Medicago truncatula: one gene and its partner. The main gene of each other region encodes a partner of the protein of the gene in region 2 in a complex. Links are inferred from orthologs where the notes say so. Each region holds a gene or a part of one and is shown on either strand. Other genes may lie near its edges.

Region 1 (6,986 bases), on a different chromosome or scaffold from region 2:
ACCCATTATATTCTATAGGTATAAAGCAGCCCTATTAGATGTTGTAAATCTAACTAATTTCATAATTCTCACAACATGAATAATTACCTTCAGATTTAGATTTACCAGCAAATTTTTCAAATAAATGACAGTAAAATATCCAATAAACTAATGCATGAATAAACAGAAATGTTAGGACTTGGAATCAAGGGGAATTTGTTAGGATTGGTGTTAAGAAGTTAATTAGGGGTTAGTAGTTAAGTTTGGTAGACTTTCTGTCTTAATTGATGTTAATCTCCTATTGCTTATAAATAGGACTTACCTCCCTTTAGAAGGATTAGGAATTCATTTAATGAAAATTGTAAACTAGAGAATGCTCTAGTGAGGGGAGAGTGCTCCCTTGGGGTAGCCTTGAGTGCAAGGTTATCTTCTTCATTACAAACCTTTTGTATCTTCTGTTTCAATCCTATCATCCCATTCAATTGATAATAACAGAAAGATATTCAAAGAATTCTTTTCACAATTTTGTTGATCAATCTTTATCCTAGTTAGAATTATTGCTGTGTATTCATTTCTGCCCAGTTTTAAGGAATTCGTTTGGAATCTTAATTCTTGGGTTCCTAACAGGAAATTAGACCAGAAGTAACAACAAATAATATAACCATGACCAAGGAATCAAAACAACGCACAAACGCTTCCAAGTTTGTCTTACAACATACTCTAACTCTACTTGTAAAATTCTCCCTCCCGCCATCTTTTCATTGAGTTACTACAGATACAAACTCACAATATAAGAGATTAACAGAAATAAATTAAGTAAATTTTATTTGGATATCCTCCATGAATGAATGGACATTGAGGTTCAAGACGAGCAAGAATTTATACACAATAATATCAGTCTTCCACAAAGATTTGAGTGCCTGGTCTCTCACTCCAAAAACTAATGGATTAACTAACTCGCTTCACTTACATTCTCTATTTTTACCCTTCCTCTCCTATTGCAATTAGAGGATTGCCTAACTGTAATAACTAATAAACTCTAACCAATTAAACTAACATTATGTAACCTACGAAGTTGTAACATGTAATTTAAAGTAATTATCTACATACTTCCCTTTCCCTCCACTCTATGTTACGCTCTGCTTGGTTACATGGCAACTTTTCCACGTTTACATTAGAAGCTTAGTTTTGTAGCTTCTATGAAATCGCAACAGGAGCATAACTGAACGTGCTTTTGGAGCTTCAAACGCAAAACCATGCTACATCTCAGTTACTCACTCTCAACATTTTCGTGTACCATATTCTATAGTACAACTTCATTTGTGTGCAAGCAACAAATAAACTCAATAAAAAGAGGCATCATATATGAAAATCAAAATATTCCATTCTAACACTAACAAAGACAGTTCACACACCTCAAAGACAACAATAAACATACTCGAACTCAAAAAACATGGCTTACCAAATGTAAGAGCAGTGGATGCTGAAACAGCCGGAGTTGAAGTCTTATTAGCAAACTGAAATCCCGTCCCAAAAGAAGCTGTCGAAGCAGTAGACGCCGAGCTTCCTACACCAAAACCTGCAAACGACGGTCCACTACTGGCCGATGACGAGCCAGCTCCACTAGACCCTGCTGCCACTGGAGCAACCGACAACGAAAATCCACCACTCGCCGGAGCAGAAGATCCAGCAACAGTAGCACCAAAAGCAGGCACAGAAGCCGAAACAATCGCAGCACCAGTCGTAGTTGTGGAGGCTGTTGTAGTAGTCACAGTCGAGGTCGAAAACAACGGCGCCGATGATGTAGTAAACGAGAAAGAACTCGCTGGCTTAGCAGCAGCCGGTGTACCGGACACTGAAGATGCCGCCACCGCCGGAGACGAAGACACATTGCCGAAACCAAATGCTGGTTGAGAAGCGGATGCAGTTGAGTTTCCTAATGAAAACCCTGACGAATTAGAAGAATTCGTTGCGGTTATAGTACTAACTGGAGCAGAGGGTTTTGAAAAAAGTGAAAAAGACGTGGTTGCTGCAGAAGAGGTTGTTCCACCAAAGGACGGAGTAGAAGATGCTGATGACGGTGCTCCAAACAATGGCGTAGAAGCCGGAGCTCCGAATGACAGCGTAGAAGAAGCCGATGACGGTGCACTAAACGACGGTGTGGAAGATGCTGATGATGGTGCTCCGAAAGACGGCGTCGATGAAGCAGATGATGCAAATGTAAATCCAAAGGACGCAGTCGATGAAGCCGAAGCGGCTGGTGCTCCAAACGACGGCATTGAAGAAGCTGATGACGGTGCTCCGAATGACGGCATTGAAGAAGCCGATGACGGTGCTCCGAATGACGGCGTTGAAGCCGATGACGCCGCAACTCCAAACGACGGCGTCGATGACGGTGCTCCAAATAACGGCGTAGAAGAAGCTGAGGACGGTGCTCCGAACGACGGAGTCGATGAAGCAGATGAACCAAATCCGAACGCCGTAGAAGTTGCCGGTGACGCTCCTCCGAACATTGTTGTAGAAGCCGTTGTTGAACCCGAAGCCGCTCCTCCAAATAGCGGTGTTGAAGCCGATGAAGCTCCGCCAAAGAGATTCCCCGGAGTTGAGGGAGTTCCACCACCAAACGGCGAGCCAGCGGTGGCAGAACCGAAAATGGAAGGAGCAGATGCAGCGGCCGGTGTGGAGGAAGCGGGAGAAGCACCAAATAAGGAAGAAGAGGATCCAAAATTGAAGGAAGAAGGTGCAGTGGCGGTGGAGGTAGGGTTTGTTGTGGTGGAGAAAGGGGAAGGTGAGGATCCGAATGGAGAGGATCCGAATGAAAATGCTGATGTGGAGGATGATGATTGGGTGGAAGATGAAGATCCAAATGGGAAACCCGACATTGTTGCGAGTGAGAAAGTGATGGAGTGGTGGTGATTGGGATTTTTTCTGTTAGGTTTTGAAAATGAGGAGGAGGGGTTTGAGATTTTAGGTTCAGGGTTTTGCTTACGGTAGCGTTTATTCAACGGGATGATTGAACTGAATTTAGTAAATTGCTATTCACACCCTCAGACCTCAGTCAAGTTTAGTCACCCTCAGACCTCGTATCCGTCCAATTTTGATCAGAAGGATGAGAATTTTGTGTGATTGTTTTGATTTTGTAGGATTTTAAAAGACTTTTCACAATCAGAATTTTCAAACTATACTTTGAATGGATTTATAACATAAATTTTTAAGATTTTATGATTTGAAAAGATTGTATGATTCTTAAGAATAATTCAATATTACAAGAGTGAATGGATTTTTTTACATCGACAACAATGAGAAGATAAAATAAAATGCTTAAGTCCCCGTGAGAATAGCTCAATTGGCAGGAACAATGCATTGTTATATGCAGGGGTTGGGGTTCGAACCCAGACATCCCATTTATTCACTTATTCATGAATTCTAGTCATTAGATTATCTAGAAGAAAAAAAAAATGCTCAAATTCTTTTGTGAATACAATAAAATCAATTTTTTTTTTTTGTCCCGAGCTAGGACCTGGATCAGTTATAAAAAGATATTAATATAATATTGATTTTCCAAGAGGTCACATAGCACTCAAGAGTTTCAACGACGAGGTAGCTGATGAAGTTGGTAATCCTATACCTCTCCATGAAACCTATTTCCATCATTGGGCTGTTGTAAAATAACAACAAAGCAAACACGCCACACACACAGAAAATGATAGCCACATGATGCTTCAAAGCTTTGATCATGTTCTTGTGAAAGAACATATTTCAAAGAAAATACAATTAATATTTCCAAATAAAATCGGTATGTAACGTGAACAACGATATTTTTCTTGAGTGGACGTGAACAACAACAATGAGAAGCAATAATATAAATGATGAGATTTATTTATATTCTATAAAATCAGTATCTAACGTGAACAATGATATTTTTTTTGATTATCTTGATTGAATGCCATGAGATTTATTTATATTCTATAAAAGTCTTGATTGAATATCATAAGATGTTTTTATTATCAAAAAGTCTTTTAAAATCATAAATTCAATACACCCCCCTAAAACATTTTTTAAAGTAAAATAGAGTATGTTGTATTAAAAGATGAGCTCAATTATCCTAGTGAGATTAACTCAGTTGCTAGAGACAATGCATAATATATGCAAGGTTTGGGTTTCGAACTCCAATCACCACGAAAAAATGTGAGCTTAACTCTTAACATTTTATAAAGAAAAATGTTGCAGGGTGTAAAAACCTTGAAATAAGATAAAAAAGCATAGAAGAAAATGAATCAATCATTTGAAGTCAAGCATCTAACCTCAACAATCCTCTAGATAACTCACAAAGAAAGAAATCTAAATCAAGCATCTAAACACAACAATCATTTTTTGATAATGCAAATGTTGTGGAGATGATCAATATATTTGGAAGTTGTCATTTATATTGTTGTTGGAGGTGATTGCATTTTTGAGTCCTTACCTGTATGTCCATGCATCATAGTCATGTTGAGTCTTGTAGTTGTAAAAGGGTTGAGCTCTTTTACTTCGGAGATTATGTAAGACGGGTGTGAAATCTTACATACGATGTTTTTGTTGCATCGAAGGTGACGACCTTGAGGTGATTCGGTACCACATGCATTTATGCGTCATGCTTAGGGACATAACATTTTGTTGCATGAGTCCTAAATGTGGAACAATGATTGACATACTTGTGGTTATGAGTGATTGGTTGTGATATTTGAATTTACCATTATGTATTATTGTTGAGGTTGATTATTCATGGCAATTATTTGGAATTTGAATTGTTTTATTGATGTCTAACTGTTATGTGGATTATAATGATGTAATACTTACCCCCAGTGGTTTGACCGCCTACCTGTCTGTATGGATGGGTAGACGCTGTGCAGGATTAGTTGCTCTGGTGAGTTGATTGATGCTTGGAGGATATCAGGAGTTATCTCTAGTATTGGTTTAGTTGAGTCTAGGATGGCTCTGATCTAGGTGTCTGTTAGATTTCCTAGATTTATCTGTTTGGATTTATTCATGTTGGAGGTTTACCCATTATTGGAACTTGGAGATCATTTATGTTGATGTATTTTTGATATCATGGCATGTATGCTCGATTTATATGGTTTATTGATGTAGTATTTTTGCATCAAACAAATGTAAGTATTTGTATCGTCTCCTCAGGGACTAGTGCGATATCGCGGACCGTTCGACACCAAATATCATTCTAAGTTAAACGATAATTTGTTGTTTGTTTGAATAACTAAGTTGCAAATGATAAAGTTGAGATTAATAGGGCGTAAAACTTGTTAGGATTAGAGTTCCTTGATCAAGCGTCGCACATAACCTAATGACCATACATGGATTCTAGCTTTTCTTTGATATTATCACATATCCCTCGACAACACTATTCGTGTCCAAACAATATTGTGAAATCAATTGTATCATTCAATGGTCGATGTCTCAAACTATTGAATGATTCAAGAGTCGATCTTATCGTTCAATCGATGATTTCTCAATCTATTGAATGATAACAAAGCTTTAGGTTTGGATACACAAGGTGATTATCAAAACATCGATTCCATGTCTAGAACCTATGTTTTGATAGATGGTTATTCTAAACCTAGATTCAAAAGTATTTCTCAATCACAATTAAATCAAAGATAACATTAAAGTGCAAGAATAACATCAATATCAAATCAAATGCTAGAACCATATATTTATAGATCAAAAGATTACATGTTAAGCTAAGATCAAGTACCTCTAATCCCAACAAAGGAGATCTAGCTACTCATTGTCATGGAAGCCTTGCAAGAATGAATTGAAGAAGCAAGATTCAATACAACTTGTGATTTCTCAACAAAAGATGAAGAATCCACTTTCTATCACTCTCACTCTATGAAGAACAAGCCCTATCTCTCTCTCCAAGAATATTACAATTGAAAAACTATGAAAAACTAATACCCAAAAACTGAGATGATTGAGTGGGCTATTTATAGAATTCTGACTCTGCATCAACTCGCCTCGCAAGCTCCTTCATTCGCCATGGCGAGTTGAGGTTCCTTCACCATTGGGTTTGTGCCATGTCATCTGTGAAGAGTTAAACCGCCCTAACTCGCCTCGCGAGTAGATGATGAGATAAAACCGCAAGTGCACGGTCTTACCGAAGTAGTAAAATATGAGTATCGTTCCGACAGGGAGTTATGAATTCAATTAACTTTAGATCATGATTAAACTGAAGATTTTATAAGGTAGAAAGGTTTGTATTTTTAATTAAAAGCAAATAAGAAAAGAAAAGATAAAAGCCTTGGAATTATTGGTTCATCCTAATGACAAGTCCTTCACAAACCAAACTATTAAACTTATAACCTTATGTTAGACCTAATTTCTCAAGACAGTTTCTCTTTTGTTCCTCTAGCAACCAAGCCTATTTCGCTGACTTGATTACTATTAGATTTTGGTTCCTCTAACAACCAAGCCTATTTCGCTGACTTGATCATTATTAGTTCCCTTGAAGATCGAAACTATATGTCTCAAAGATTGTAAAGACTATTTCGCTGCCTTTACAATCTTTGTCTAAATTCACTTGTTCGAATATCAAAGCTCCACTTTCGTTTTATGAATTGATATTTGAGATGATGGATAAACAATTATCAAACCCTCCACTTTCGTTTCCACAGTTTGATAATGGTTGATCCATGTTAAAGCGGTGAATTTAGATAAGGAATTAGGGTTACATAAGATTAAGGTTTAAAGCTTGGTTTGATTAGGATTATGTCATTAGACTTATCCAACAATCCCAAGACAAGAGAAGTCTACTCACTAATGTTCATCGTAGACAAGGAGAAGAAGAAAGAAAGCATAAAAATAAATAACAAGAAAGTAAATGAACTTTTATTAGAAAGACAATTGTCACATATTGCATTCCAAGAAAAGATGATTATTTGTGATGGATGGCTACTCTATTTATAGCATACATTTGACTTAAAATCTAAGCAGTTACATTCGGGCTAAAA
Region 2 (7,043 bases):
TTGATTCAACTTCATGATTTACAACAAATCTTATGTTGAAGAATTAGATCCCATATATATCTCAAAAAGAAACAAAAAAAAGAGTGTATGAAACGGAACTTTTGTGCTTAACAATGTGGAGACTGAAGAAAATATAGGAGATTTAGTCTTAGTGACACCGAAGTTATTGCTCACGAAAATAGCTTCATCAAATAAATATTGATGAGACAAGGAAGAGGATAACTAGTTTTACCAGTATACTAATATATATACAGAGAAACAAAGGATTTCCAACTTAATGGTAGTAAAAGAATAAGGCAAAGTATTTTGGCATATTGGATGAGGAGAAACGGGTAAAGGGAAAAAACTGACATTGGAAAGATATGATCTAAAAGTGAAAAAAGAAAACCCATACTGGATTCCTTGGTTTCAGTATTTAATAGGCTTGATGCGGTTTCTTGTGTCACACCAGAAGTAACAGTTTTGGAATTTTCTACAGCATTCTTTTCTGCTGCTGCTCTTTTTTCAGCTTCCATTGCTGCCTTTGTTTTGGCTTCCATCACTGCTTTTTTCTCAGCTTCCAATGCAGCTTGTTTTACTTCCTCGGCTTTAAGTTTGGCCTGCACCATAACATTTAAATATCGTGAATGAATGGTCATTTGGGCTTAAGCTTCTATAAAGAAGATTGGTAGCAAAAATGTATACTTCAACTAACATTAACAAGATCCATATAGTGGTGGACATGTAAATATCAGTGAAAAAAAGTTTTAGGCTAGTCGCCGGTAAAGTGAATAGACCAAACGAATGCAACAGTAAATGTATGGGTTGCAGTTTAGGACTCTCCAAACATGTCTGTAAAAAAAAGAAGTAACCCAACACCTCACTTTGTAGTTGTGAACAGATGATAACTAGAAATGAAAATTGAAGACAGTACATGTATAATTTTTTTTCCAAATAACAAAATCAAACTAAAATAAAAGGGCATGGTACCTCTGCTTCAGCTTTAGCCTTTTCTTGCTGTTGTTTTTCCTCCTGCAAAGCAACCTTTCTCTTGGCCTCTTCATACGCTGCATCACTTCTTATTTTCCTTTCTTCTATTTGTGATCTGAGTTCACGGTCTTGTTGAACAGCTGTCAACTGATTATCAAGTGCTTCTGCACTACAAAAAGTTTGGAGATGTCAATAATTAGTTTCTTTGTTTTCAACTAGTTCAAACACAGCAAATATCTAACAAGAGAAATAGTATTTTGGGTGATATAAGAGCAGGTTTAGTAGAAAATATGCTGCATATGTAAAATATTAGTTATCAACAGGAGAAATAGAATATAGAATCAACATCAAATCACACAGTGAAGCCCAATATTCATACAAGTGAATTTATAAAATAAAATTAGATTCCTCGACTTTAAATTAATGTGCATCATAATGAATTGTCTTCCAGTCTTCCTCCTATAAAGTATAAACAGATCAGTCATGTATCCTTTCACCAATATTTATTGAGAGAATTGTGAAACATATAATGCCCCTGCCTCGCTCAAACAAATGGTAAAAAAATGCTTAATGGATCTCTACAGGTAGTGGTGCAACAACAAAATCACTGTCATGCAAAAAAACCCATTATTTGAACCTCTCATAAAGCACATTAAGAATGTAGACAATTTTATAGGAGCCTGTAATTCATAGTCAATGCTTACTTTTAAGCCTGACAAGATAAATAAGTTGTAGAATGAAGGAATCATGTTGCCTTGAAAAGAAAAGATAAAGGAGCAGGACAAGACAATGGAGTCTTACATTTGGCGCTGATATTGAGTATCAAACTTTTTATCCAACTCCTGCCTTGTGTCTTTGAATTTCTCAACTCGAAGAAGGGATGAAATAGAGTTCTGACTTTCATTCAGTAGAGCTATCTCCAATGCTGAGATCTTATTTCTAATTCCATCCTGTGAATCGAAAAGATCAGGAAAAAGTATGCTATACAACACAAAACAAATCATGACGCAATTAACAAGTTATATGCCAACCAAGAATGACTAGCTATTCAATTTGTAACTGACATGTCAAATTGGTATCAATAGAACCACTCACATTAACCCTCAGTTGATGATCGTGTGTTAACTCGATCAAAGCACCTTCTACCTCCCCAACTTTATTCATCAAGTAAGGTTGCACTTCCAAAGCAGATTCAACATCAGAATCATCACTGTCGCTGAAACACCAAAGGAAATGACAAAATATTACTATCAAATCAAATCGACTTTATCATGATTTGAAATATGAGAATAAAGCTACGGTTCATGAAATAGGCACCTCAGATAAATTTCATCACAAGTGAAGTGTTTTCCAGTGTCCGATACTACTAACGCTTTGTCGTCGTCATCCTCACTGTCCGTCTCATACTCAGGGGCACGAAACACAAACCTTCTACCTTTCTCAATTTCTTTCCTACCGGATAAGTTAACCCTAAAAAATCAACAAAGTTCAATTTGACAATAATGACATGCTTCATATTCATAACCTTAATGCGGTTATTTTCACAAACAGTTGGTGTGCAAAAAAAAGAATAATGAATTGATAAGGTTTTGGAATGTGGGTACCTTGATGAAGTTGTTTGATGAAAATGCAAAGGTGGGGTGGAAGAATTGGCGGAGAGATTATTCTCCAAGGCATTGAGCTCGGAGACGAGAGCATCGAAACTCCAATCAGGATCAGCAGCAGCAATGTCATCATCATCCACTCGACCCAATTTCATAGCTCCCCTGCAAATATCATAATTAATGAACTCAAATTCATGTTGTCTATGAATATTAAACAAAATATTGAATTGAAATAGAATCTTAGTGATAATAATGGGTAAAATAAATAAATTGAAACTTACATTATTTTGATTCTTGATGAATATGTAGTGAGTAGAGTTGGAAGAAAGTTATGGAAAGATTGTTCGGAGAATGAATCGCGAAGAAGAAGAAGAAGAAGGTGGAAGTGAAGTTTGAATTTGAAACCCCGATTTTATATATATATATAGTACGGTGTTTTTTGTTTGGATAAGGAGAAACCGGGATTTTAAGCTTAACAACAACGCTAATTCGTGATAACCATCGACTTTATTTGTTTGTTGGTTTTTTTTTTTAATAGTGATATTGTACAATTCTTTGATAGAATAACTTTGGTTTTCTCTATTTTAATTGGTCAAAAATAATAGAGAGAAAAAAAAGGAAGAGAGAATAAGAAGATAATATAAGTATGAGAGAAAAAGTTGTTAAAATGTTGTTAGAAAATAGTTGTACAAATATATATTTTTTTTTTAATGAAGCATGATCCGTTAACATACCAGATGTAAGTAAAAAGACTTACACCAAATTTCAACCATTTAATCGAGTAAATAGTCAATTTCCCCCCTGAAATTGTAAGTTTCATCAATTACCCCCCTGAAATTAACAAAACTTCAATTACCCCCCTAAAATTTCACAACGTTAGTCAATTTACCCCCTCCGTCAAATTTTTCTGTTAGTGAACATGATGTTTTGCAAATACCCCCCTGAAATTTTGCACTTATGTGCAAAATGCCCTCCAACGTATTATTTGATAAAGTTATCGATAATGCGTTTTTATCTCGAGTTTGATCGTCATACTATATTGATAATTTAAAGTTATTTACATAGACATCAAATAATACGCGGTCATGTCAATTAATACTATAACAAATAGTAGTATATTTTTCAAGCATATTAATGATGTTTCAACGCCTTATTTGATAAATGTGTAAAATAATTATCTCTTCTTTCATTTAGAGGTGATCACTTTGCGATTTTATTTTTTTTGTAGGTAGACGAAATGGCAAAGCCATTATAAATTCACACACAAATGGAGGTACTGGGGTTTGAACCCCAATCATGACATTCGGCCTAACAATTTTGACATTTTGCCAGTTATGCTAGGACTTCTTGATATCATATCGCGATTTTAGTTAGTGTTGAAGTAAAAACTAGTTGCATACCAAAAAATATTACTTGCAATTTAGTTTGGTTTAGATCACTATTTTAAAAAAAATTGATCCGATTTAATTTGATGCGATTAAAATATAAATTGTTTTATTAATATATAATAAAATAATATGTTTAGAATAAAATATAACATATAATAATATCAACAATTAATAGCAAAGAATGACAATTATCGATTATGTTTGAAATATATTAATTAAATAGTTAAAAAATAGATTCAATTAATCTAACAAGTAGTATAAAATATAACGTATAATATAACGGGGCATAGTATCAAATATAACATATAATACTCTACGCCCCGTTATCTCCCTTCTCTCTCTCCCTCTCGTACCTCTCCTCTTTCTCTCATCTCCATTCTATCTCCTCTCCTCTCATGTCTTCTCTCTCATTCTCTATTTGCTTTCATATTTCCTCTTCTATGGTACCTTAAATGTTTGAATTTATTATTGTCCACCAACATCCTACAAGTAGGGTTGGGAATAGGCCTGACCTACAAAAATTTTTGCAGGCCTGAGCCTGGCCTATGGCCTTTCATAGGCCTATTTTTTTTTCTGGTCTGGCCTGAAAGCCTATTTACAGGCCTACTTACTATTAAAGTCACTAAACATTCCATTTTATCTACTTTTAAATAGGTTTAATAGGCCTCAAAGCCTATTTCAGTGTAAGACTTGTCTATCACTACTATAAGGCCTTAAAAGCCTATTTCACTATAAAGCTTTAAAGTCTATTTAAAAAGTTCACTATGAAGTCTAACATGCATAAACAGACTGGCCTATTAGGCTTCATAAGCTTTTTTGATAGCCTAAGCCTGACCTATTTACTTAAATAGACTTTTTAAAAAGCCTAAGCCTAGCCTTTTTAATAAACAGGTCAGGTCAGACCACGCTTAAGCAGGTCAGACCATAGGCCCCTGTAGGCCAGCCTGGCCTATTTCCATCCCTACCTACAAGAAAAGACTATCCTTAAAATACTCAATCATTATTTTATCAATTTTCTTTTTATTATTAAATAAATATTTCTTTATGTGTGTGACCAAACATTATTTATTTGATCTTGTGACCATATTAGAATTTCTCTTTTGGTTTTCTATTTTTATATATAATTGGTCCTTTATAACTCAAAAGTTTGTGTGATAGTACTCCCTCTGGAGAGAGTATTATTAATTAAAGTTGTTGTTAGTTAAGTAATTACTACAAAATTTGTCGACTTTTGTCTCTACAAATATTAAGCGAGTCACGGGCATTAGTGTATATATTGATCCCAATGCATGTATGTGAAAACTAAGATCACATGACATGATATGATGTTAACATATAGTACTTGAAATATTAACACAGAATATGAGTGGATGCTCTTGGGGGTTACCAAATATGGCAACAATGTCAGTAATGGTGCTACTACTGCTCTCCATTGTAAGGGTGACGGCTCTTCCACTTCACACCAATGGACGGTGGATCGTGAATGAAAGTGAAAAGAGGGTGAAACTAGCATGTGTTAATTGGGCATCACATTTAGATACCTCAGTGGCTGAGGGTTTGAGCCATCAACCTCTTGATGTAATTTCAAAGGGAATAAAATCCATGGGTTTCAACTGTGTTAGGCTCACTTGGCCACTTCTCTTGCTCACTAATGACTCTTTTGCTTCTATTAAAGTGAGACACTCTCTACACAATCTAGGACTTCTTCAATCCATATCTGGGATTCAAGCCAACAACCCCTCCATCATTGACCTTCCCCTCATCAAAGCTTACCAGGTACTCCTTATGATTTTGATTTTAAGAAAAATTAATTATGATTAATATCTTAATCTCATGGAAAAATCATTTTTCAAAAGTTTTATTCATGCACATTTGTTCCATAAAATTAAAAGATTAATTATTGACAAATTAAATTCATATTATTAGAGGAGTATTCAAGAAATTATATCATTAAATAAATATTTAAATATGAATATATTAAACCCTAGATGGCTACTCATCCTTACGAGTACCATAGGAAATGTGTTTTGGATTTTGTTGGGTAAAAAGTAATGGAAGGTGGATAAGTTAACTTATATTAGATGATGATTATGCAACGGATAAGCTAACCGATAGTTTTTTTTTTTGTCAAGTAGTATAGTGGTTAGAGCTCACACAATTAAATTGTGGAGTGTTCGGGGTTCGAACCCCGGCCCCTGCATATATATGCAATATCTCTACTAACTGAGTTAAGCTCACAGGGATAGCTAACTGATAGTTAATTGTGAATAAGATAGCGTATTATATTTGTAACGTTTGATAAAATTAACATTAAATTAGTTGATAAATATGAAATGATGATAGTTAATTGTGAATAAGATAGTGTATTATATTTGTAACGTTTGATAAAATTAACATTAAATTAGTTTTTTTTTCTTCTGACAGACTTAACATTAAATTAGTTGATAAATATGAAATGATATAATATTTCAAAAAGAATTAAATGATATAAAAATATATTTTTAATTATTATTTATTTATTTTAATTAAGTATGCAAACTTATTTATGACAAAGGAAAAACAAAAGATGGATATATAAACCTAACCCAATAGAATAACAAAGGCACGAAAACTTGACAAAAATAAATAAAGGCTGGAAAAAAAATTGTTATTCCAAAGAGATCTATCTTAAACATATACTCCAATACTATAAGCTCAAAAGTTGTCCTTGCCAAACAGAACTTTATTTACACGATTGAAATATCATCCTTTTGTGAATTGCATTTACATGACAATAGGACTAAAATTAATTTGGAGCATTAATATCTCTCAATGCGACTATGTTGGAACTTGAAAGTACCATAACCAAAGTCAATGATGTAGTACAAAAAAAGCATTTTGTTGGACTAAAATTTTTGCAAGTATTTCGAGGTCTGTGCTATTGAATGGTTAGGTCGACTATTTGGTGAGCTAGCCTAAGTATTAAAGCACCGGCTTTAATAATACGGAACCTTTTTAATCAGGACTTTGTCTAATTTGTTCAAAATATATGTTCAGACTTAATTTGGTTTAGGTTCTAACCAATTACTCCTCCGTTTTAAAA

What was found. Proteins that work in one complex are often made in the same cells at the same time.
Region 1: protein GLE1 (region 2) and nuclear pore complex protein NUP62 share a complex: the UniProt entries of both Arabidopsis thaliana proteins name them as parts of the nuclear pore complex. The link is inferred for Medicago truncatula from reciprocal best matches to the Arabidopsis thaliana genes GLE1 and EMB2766.

What each region holds. Positions count from the first base shown.
Region 1 is NC_053048.1:21,855,348-21,862,333, forward strand, and holds the start of nuclear pore complex protein NUP62, read right to left. Parts: upstream 3,012-6,986; 5' UTR 2,862-3,011; coding exon 1,442-2,861; intron 1-1,441.
Region 2 is NC_053044.1:42,616,303-42,623,345, reverse strand, and holds the start of protein GLE1, read right to left. Parts: upstream 3,015-7,043; 5' UTR 2,857-3,014; coding exon 2,855-2,856; intron 2,736-2,854; coding exon 2,574-2,735; intron 2,440-2,573; coding exon 2,287-2,439; intron 2,186-2,286; coding exon 2,065-2,185; intron 1,920-2,064; coding exon 1,771-1,919; intron 1,139-1,770; coding exon 970-1,138; intron 600-969; coding exon 395-599; intron 1-394. Other genes in the region: glycosyl hydrolase 5 family protein, read left to right, coding at 5,324-5,737. UniProt on the Arabidopsis thaliana protein: Required for seed viability.